2 linked regions of the Oryzias latipes genome follow. The protein of the gene in region 2 interacts with the protein of the main gene of each other region in a pairwise test. Links are inferred from orthologs where the notes say so. Each region holds a gene or a part of one and is shown on either strand. Other genes may lie near its edges.

What was found.
Region 1: the proteins of bag4 (region 2) and putative bifunctional UDP-N-acetylglucosamine transferase and deubiquitinase ALG13 interact in binary tests that used the Homo sapiens proteins (3 or more experiments, as listed by UniProt). The link is inferred for Oryzias latipes from reciprocal best matches to the Homo sapiens genes BAG4 and ALG13.

What each region holds. Positions count from the first base shown.
Region 1 is NC_019859.2:214,962-218,781, forward strand, and holds part of putative bifunctional UDP-N-acetylglucosamine transferase and deubiquitinase ALG13, read right to left. Parts: intron 3,769-3,820; coding exon 3,687-3,768; intron 3,597-3,686; coding exon 3,431-3,596; intron 3,365-3,430; coding exon 3,310-3,364; intron 1,893-3,309; coding exon 1,775-1,892; intron 1,408-1,774; coding exon 1,343-1,407; intron 1,274-1,342; coding exon 1,173-1,273; intron 1,098-1,172; coding exon 1,015-1,097; intron 938-1,014; coding exon 670-937; intron 587-669; coding exon 479-586; intron 194-478; coding exon 46-193; intron 1-45. UniProt on the Homo sapiens protein: Catalytic subunit of the UDP-N-acetylglucosamine transferase complex that operates in the biosynthetic pathway of dolichol-linked oligosaccharides, the glycan precursors employed in protein asparagine (N)-glycosylation.
Region 2 is NC_019867.2:18,633,553-18,638,162, forward strand, and holds the start of bag4 (BAG family molecular chaperone regulator 4), read right to left. Parts: upstream 2,975-4,610; 5' UTR 2,803-2,974; coding exon 2,713-2,802; intron 2,175-2,712; coding exon 2,055-2,174; intron 1,855-2,054; coding exon 1,639-1,854; intron 1,143-1,638; coding exon 873-1,142; intron 781-872; coding exon 319-780; 3' UTR 1-318. Other genes in the region: U6 snRNA-associated Sm-like protein LSm1, read left to right, coding at 3,523-3,568, 3,679-3,747, 3,878-3,993. UniProt on the Homo sapiens protein: Inhibits the chaperone activity of HSP70/HSC70 by promoting substrate release. Prevents constitutive TNFRSF1A signaling. Negative regulator of PRKN translocation to damaged mitochondria.

The sequences.
Region 1 (3,820 bases), on a different chromosome or scaffold from region 2:
GGAACCCGTAATAGTTCTGGGCTCTAGCCCCACTGTGCTCCTCACCGCCAGCGGGGGCAGGACGGCCTCCGCGTCGTCCAGCTGGTAGTACGCCATGGCCGTTTCCAGGTCCGCATGCTCCTCCACCGCCTCTGCTGAAAACCCAAATTGACCATCCTTGTTCAGAACCGCCGCCAGCTGGCGCCGGCTGCGCCTGGAAACAGGAAACAGGGTTTAAGCCATACAAGAAGTGATCTAACAATGGGGAGTGGTCCCTGCTGTACTGATGGCCCCTCCCTGAAAAAAACAACAACCTGCTGATGGTCTTTCCCAGAAAAGTTAAATATTTCAAAGCAACTTTCAAAACCATCAGCAGAGTTTGGGATCAGCTGAGGCTCCGCTGTCCGTGGTCCTGAAGCCAGCAGACGGCGGGGAATTGATGGCGGGGCCGCGGCGGCCACTCGGGCGGGCGGGGGCTGTGTTGGCTGATATCACTCACCTGGACCTGAAGGGGTAGTTCTCGTAGTCGTGGTAGAACCGCCGGCCCGTTTGGTAATAGGTCAGCTGTGGACCCATCAGGTGACGGTTCAGGAATCGAGAGGAGCTTCTGGCGGGAACCAGGTCACACAGAGACACCGTCAGTTTGCATCAATGTGGGGGGAGAAGTGACAGTGGGGGCTTCAGGCCCACCTTGAAGATCCATATCTCGGTGGTCTGACGGTGGGGGCAGGATGATGTTGGGGGGCATATGGGTTGTAGGTCAAGGCTCCAGGTGACAGTGGTGGGGGTGGGCGTGCTTGCCCTACAGGCTGAAAGCGGGGGGGCAACACAGAAGAAGCAGGGCCCCCATAAGAGGAGGGGGGTGGCATGAACAACTCCGCCCCCTTCACCACGTTGTTTCCCCGGGACTTTCTGAAGTAGCGGTGGCGGTGGTGGCGTTGACCACGGGAGTCTAGATCTGAGGAGCACAAACGGGGGCAGGTTATGGTGGAGGTGGTGGTGGGGGGTCTGAAACTGAGTAGGAAGCAGACCTACCAAGGTCTTTCCTGGAGGGGGCAGCCACATTCCAGGCAGGAACTGGATTGACTGGTTTCAGATCAGTCAGGGGAACCAAGTGTCTGCATGAAAGATCCATTTGTCAAAGGCTGGACCAACTGGTTCTGGTTCAGTCCAAGTGGGCGGCGGCATATTACTTCTCTCCCAGCTCCTCGATGAAGACCGTGACGGCCGCGGCGTGCGTTCCCACCTCCTGGATAAAGGCGTTGTAGAACTTCCCCTTTGGCTCCAAACGCACCTGAAGAGGAAGAGGAATCTGGAGGAAGTCTGTCTACAGACTCCAGGACAGGAAGTGAGGCGGTCTCACCTGACACTTGTCTCCCAGGAAGTACTGCCTCCCGGCAAACACCATGTAGTCCGTCTTCTGCATCTCTGTGAGTCGACAGTTTCCAGATTAACACAGACCTGCAGCTGGAACCAACAGAACATCCATGCTGTGTTCATCTGTGTACCTCAAACAGGAACCCTGTTTGTTTCTAGAACCACCAGAACTTTGTTCTGGACGTGTGGCGTCCGCTATAACATCTAACTAATCAGATCGATCTTAGGCAAACTGTCAATCAAATCGGCCTGTAGGGTTAGACGAATCAATCTTGGAAAATACAATCTGGCTTGAGGTACACCAGGTTTATGCAATGTAAGGTAAAAGTGACCAATCACAGCGGAAAACTACAGTGAGCTCCCAGTGCATGCTGGGAGGTGGTCCAGTCACATGACTGAGGTTCTGGTCCGTTCTAACCTTTACAGGTGTCCTGCCACACGTCAAATTCCAGATTCCTGTAGACGTCGCCATCGAGAGCCTTCATGACTTTGTAGGGCAGCGAGAGTCTGTAGGAGGGCGGGGCTTCTCCAGGAGGCTGCGTTTCGACAGGAAGAGTCAGCGGATGTGACATCACACAGCCTGTGGGTGCGTCTGTTGTTTTCCTCCAAATTTTATTTATGAGTATTGAAAAATTTATAAAACTGTACATTTAAATTCAGTTTTGGACCCATAACTTCTCTATTCTCAACTATTCTTTTCTTTTCTTTCAATAACAGAACTTAGTATCTAACAAGACACAAAACAGGGAACAGCGGATGCATTATTAGGGAGGGAGGGAAGTAAAAAATAAAATAAAACCTTCATCTTGGTTATCAATATAAGCCAGACATATTTATTACCTCCAATAGTAAATGATTAACATAGAACAGCCATTGTGACCTTATCTTCCAAAATGTAGGCATCTCTATCCAAAGTGAGTAGGTTAGTCTTTCCATCTGAAAGATTTCATTTACAACGTCTATCCAATTGTCCAAGCAGGGTACGGGGGGGGGGGGCAGTGTCTAGTCACTGCTTTTTTACCAGCAGTTATTAATATTCTGAATACATTTTCGTTGGTAGGTGGGAGTTGTGTCTTGTGGTTGGTTTCTACTTCTGCCTCCAGCACTTGTTTTTATCTCCATTGCCGTGTTTCTTTTGTTTGGTTGTAATAAAAAACTTCAAACATTTCCATCTAAATTCTCTCCATGCTGTGAATTTGTACATTTCCACACTGATACACAGCAATCTCTCCATTCTTCGTCTGTCGTAGTTGTGTTGCTTTCTTTCTCCCATTTACTTTATATATATTGAGTTGAGGTCATTTTTTACTCATAAATCCCTTGTAAAGTCTAGATATCAAACCCTTTTTTACATTTTCCTTTGCATGCTGTTGATATTTCACCAAGCACTGGTTCCTGTGTATCCATGGTGTGGAGGACCTCTTTGTTAATGTAGTTGTAAATATCTGTAAAAATCATTTTTCCCTAAGTTATAATTATCCTTAAGTGTTTGGAAATCTTTCATTATTCCCTTGTTGAGTAAAGAGTAATGTGTTTAACCCTTGCACTGTCCAGTGGTGACATCTATTGTCTAACTGCTTGGGCTTGAAATCATGGTCGTATGCGCATCATCTTACAATTTTGAAGTTATTGTGTAGTCTGTGTTCCTCCTTTATTTGGGACCAGATTTTCAGTTGTGTCACTATCCATAGTTTTCCCCTGTGTCTTTGTTTCCCATGAGCGCCTGTAGTGGAGAGTCTGAGACTTAAAGTAATTCAATGCCTTTCCATTTGAGATTTAATTTGGTACGTAGTGGGTTGGTGGATCATAATTTAAAGTCAGTATTTGGGTTTTCCCCATGTTTAACTTCTATCCTGCGTGGTATCCAAATGTATTTAAACATTCAAATAATCTGGGCAATGATTCATTTGGTTCACTTGTGTAAATTATTACATCACGCGTCTCCGTTTTTACCTTCATCACCTCCTCGGAGCACGGCTTCTCCTCACCTGCTCCGCCAGCCTCCTCCCTGCAAGAGAAAGGCTGAAGAAGAGTCTGCGGGGGAGGAGCTACAAGCGTGTGCTGCTGCACGTACCTGTGTCCACGGTCATCAGGTGTGTCATAGCTGGGGTCGGCGTCGCTGCACACAGAAGGGCTGTTTCTATAGCGACGACTTCCTACCTTGAAAGCCTCCATGGCCTGAAAAAGCTCCGCCTCTTCCAAGCCAAACACCTGCGTGTACAGCAGCTCATACAACAGAGCTACACACACACACACACACACACACACACACACACACCTGAGCAGGTGAGTTTCCACACACTGCAGCGCTGCATGACGAGGACACTCACACTGGCAGAGTGCAGCTGAGGCGGGGTAACTTCTCGGGTAAACTATGTCGTAGTGACCATTGATGGAGCAGCACAGCATCACCTGACCACACAGTGGGTTAGCAGCCAATCACAGCACAGTGTGAGGCATCATG
Region 2 (4,610 bases):
TTAACAATGATTTCATCTTTTTCTATGCGAAAGTGTGAAAACAAATAAATGGAGACAAAGCAGAACTTTGACCGTAATCTTATCTGTATTAGGAGTAGATTTGAAAACAAAAGACATGGCATTCATGTGTAGGTCTGATTTTAAGTTCCCTTCAAATTTCATCTAACTCTTCCTTCGGTCTGTAATTTCTTCATATAATGTTTTTAAGGTAGAAAAAAGAACATTGTTATAGTTCTGCAGAGCAGGACTTTTGTCAAGGAAGATCTTAGAGAACATAAGAAAACTTGGTGGTCCACAAGCAAGTTAATTGAGCCCGCTTCAGAAGGCTTTCTTCTCTAGTTGGTCAAGTATGGCCTGAATTCTCTGCACGGCTTCTTTCCGTGCTTGTCGAACATTGTCCTGTCCCTGAGTCTCCACGGAGTCCAGCTCTAACAGCTCTTTGGTCAGAAGTTCCTCAAGACAGCGGTAGCTCTTGTCTGTCTTTTTGCCTACAAACTCGTCAACATCTTCCTGAAGTAGCTGAACTCTGGTCATCACATGCTGAACCTTGGCAAGGCCTGGATTATCACTCAAGGGCAGCTGTCTGGTCTGACCTGCGGGCGGTGCAGGAGCTTGGGTTGGGGCTGATGGGGGGGGCTCAGCCTGTGAGGTGTTAGTATCACCTCTCCCTGTTTTGTTGTAGATTTGTGGAGGAGAAGTTATTTCAGCAGGCTTTCCATTAGGGGGTGGTGTTGGCCTGGGTTTAGGCCCCACCTGCAGAGGGCGTTGGTGATGCTGATCCTGAAACAACACAAGATAGACATATTTGCTTTTATCTCCTTACGGACTCTTGAATAATTGTTACACAATGCACGTCAGCTGCAGAGCCTTACTTTGGGCTGATAGGGTGGTGGGGCACCAGTCCCGGTTCCTGGCCACGCTGGAGGATGAGGTGGACGGACGGGATTCCCGTAATGATTTTGGGGAGGTTGCTGACCTCCCTGCCACTGTTGCTGTGAGTGGGCATACTGGCTGGGGTGTCCCCATGCTTCAGCCTGGGAATTAGGATGAAGAGCCTGGCCGGTTGGGTAAGGAGAATTCGAGTGAATTGCATGTCCACCTTCACTGTAGTGTGGGTATGATCCAGGAGGATATCCAGGACCCTGAGAGCACAAACAAGACAAACATGTTTATTCTCAAAAATGTAACATTACAAGAAATGGATGTCTCATTTTGGTGCTTTCTAAACACATTTGGGCTGCTCGATATAAGGAAAACTTGTGATATGCGATATTGATGATCAATATTGCGATGACGATATAACTTGCGGTGATACGTGAACACACCAAAACAACCAAAAACATCATTTCCATTTCACTGCAACGGTTTAAATTTTTTTTTTTAAAGTAAACCCTCGTCTAGCATAAAAGGGCACCATCCGATTGGTCAACAATGTGAAGGCGTCCATCCGATTGGTCAAATGCATAAAATGATTTGTTTGATTCCTTAAATACGTCAAGCTTCCATAAGATTGTTTTAGCAAACTCATATAAATAATAATAAGTAAAAAGACTGAAATATTAAACCAAGAACCTTTTGCTTCTATTTAAGTATTTTGTAAGTAATGTGAGTGTCTCATTAATGCGTAAATAAACTCACCCCTTGACAGTGTGGACCAGTGTAATGATGATGCTGAGCGTGAGGCGGCTCGCTGCTTTGATCTGCCGGACAGCCTTGGTGCGGATAGGAACTTGGACTTGCTCTCCTTGGATCAGCACAGTAGAAGGGGTTGGATGGGTGGAAGCTACTTGCCGGGTACGGACTCTGTGCATGGTTGTACGCTCCATGGCCGTTCGGATATCCTCCTGGCATTACCTAAAAATAAAAAATAAGTAAAAAAAGAAAAACAGGGACAAGCCTGAGAGGAAATTGACCACTCTGTGAAAACAGCACTTTTGATACCACAACTATGAGTGTTTGTGCAAAAGAAAGATGAGGAAATTGATGAGAATCAAAACAGTGAGCAATATATTAAAATGTTGAAGGAAAGGAATGGCTCGTATAGTGAGATGTACCTGTGGATTGTACTGCGGATGCAGATCTGACGCTGAAGGATAGGCATTTGCGTAGGGCCCTGTGGAGTGGGACTGCGGATACCAGTATTGTGGAGGGTAACTTGGATACTGAGGAGCATCCTGTAAAAGGCAAGTTGACACGAGACAGCGACTCACTTTATGTGATCCAACCCATTTTGTGTAGCTATCCTAAATCTCAAATAGAGATATGGAGAACTTGATGCTGAGAAACTTAAATGATAAACGCATTGATAAACATATACTCGTGTCTTTCTAGAAAACTAAATAAATGGATGTTAACTTGTGTTTAAATGAATGAAATAATTTGAGCTAAACCAATGATTAACTCATGAAACTCTATATGATCGCTACGATCTCCTAACGTGCAGAAGTGTTGTGTTAAATCGATATTTTCGAGTCAATGTAATTTAAAAACAAGGACTTAACTAATAAGCTAGCAGTAACTATTACATAATGCCCGCTAGCTATATTAGCTATGAAGCTAGCATGATGAACATTGCGAAGAACTTCTGCACGAACGAACAAACGGATTTTATTGTTGGGAGATTTTAAATTAATCTTTGTTTCTTTAAAGCACAATATGATCTGTCACCCCCTCCCCCCAGTAAAGTTTTTTTTAATTAATCTGCTCGCTTACCATAGTGTTACTGCAGCTTCCGTGACTATTTCCCGAGTTAGTAGAGGGCCAGCCAGTTTTCCCGTTTGGCTGCATTTGGGGTTTCTGCATCAGTTACACGTATTTTGCCATCTTCCAAAATAAGCAAGACTATCACTAGTTTACGGTTCCGCTAGAAATCTGACAGCTGATCAAAGCAGCAGCTTCCCCGCAGAAGTCAGGATCGCCTGATTGCAACCAAGAAATGAATAAATGACGCGGAACTCTGGAGACATGGTACTGCGTCTTTAAGTCGAGTAGAACCATTACAAGTAAAGAGGAGTCACTCTCTAAAACTTTCTGATCGAAATTGCTGGATGAAACCTTACAATTGCAAAACGCAGAAACGGGGAACACAATTAGAATATTTTTAATTAAAGATATTTATTTTCAATATATTTTACTGCTAAGACCAACTATTGAATTACTCCTGTAGCAGTTGTATTTTTTAAACATGTGACGCAACTTTTCAAAATTTTCATTTACGATCTTTGATGTGGCACATGCGTTGGAAGGGTTACCATCCATCATCAAATGGGGACATTTAATCCAAACATGTTTTATAGAAAATTCTTTTTGTATCATAAAATGTATGATACTTTTGTTTAAATCATTTTTACACAGTTATTTTTAGAAAATTCGAGCTATGCGCAATTACGGTGCGGAAGGGGTTAAATGTTTACAGGAAGTGTATAAAAGCACTTCCTGTGCACCGTCAAATAGAAACGGGTAAAAACATTCATGGCTTGATGGTTCAGAAATCAACTAAACGCGTGAAAACTGCAACTAAACATGAATTACGTACCAGGGACGGCCAGTCTCATTGACGATATTGACAGTAAGTTGGGCCTTATAGAAATTGCTTTTTTTAATCATAAACAAACGACACAATGTATTAGCGTGTGCCGTGTGGACGCAGATTTTTTTTAAATGTTTTTAATTTCGCAGAAAAGCACTTGGTCCTGCTGCGAGATGGCAGAACACTAATCGGTTACCTGAGAAGCATCGATCAGTTTGGTAATAAAAAATGAGAATCTTCTAAACTCTTCCATGCGGGTTTATTTTTTTATTTTTATATGATTACGCGGTGTTTCAATAGTCCTAAATTTGTTTGTTTCTTTCTTTTTTTTTTTTTTTTGTTCCACAGCCAATTTAGTCTTTCATCAGACGGTGGAGCGTATCCACGTGGGAAAGAAATTTGGAGATATTCCCAGAGGTATCTTCATCGTCAGGGGAGAAAATGTAGTCCTGCTTGGGGAAATAGTAAGTGTTTTAGAGCAATTTTTTAGTTTGTTCTAAACTTGAATGTAATTTCTGGATCAAGTTTTATTTACGTGAACTTGTTCTCAGATGCTCCGTACAGCACCAAACATCAAACTCTGAATGTGGTCAAGCATCCAGGTCTCGCACTGCAGAAAATGATGTGACTCTTATTTAAAGATCAAGTTAAATTTATATGCAAGTAAATTGTTACTTTATATAGTTACTACAGTTATAAACTTTTTTTTTTGAAAAGTTGCTGCCTAAATGAATACTTGCTTAAAAAGGAAATTGCGCACACATTGACTGTAAAGGTACCTCCATGTTAAGGTTACTTAGCAAAAACAAAAAAGGCTTAATTTTACAACTTTTTCAAATTTGCTGTTTGGTCTAGCCAGATTTTTTATTTTTCTCTCCTGGTTTTCAATATGATATAAAAGAAAAGCGGGTGGGAAAAGTGGTGAGGATTGTCAATCTTTGCTCTTTCCATATAAATACAATGCATACTTCTTCTTACTTTTTTTTTTCTTAATTATAATTTAGATTACCAATGATTACACAAATGATTGCAGGATTGCTGCTAGTTTACCTCACAACCCCAACCTAACATGATGGTGGTA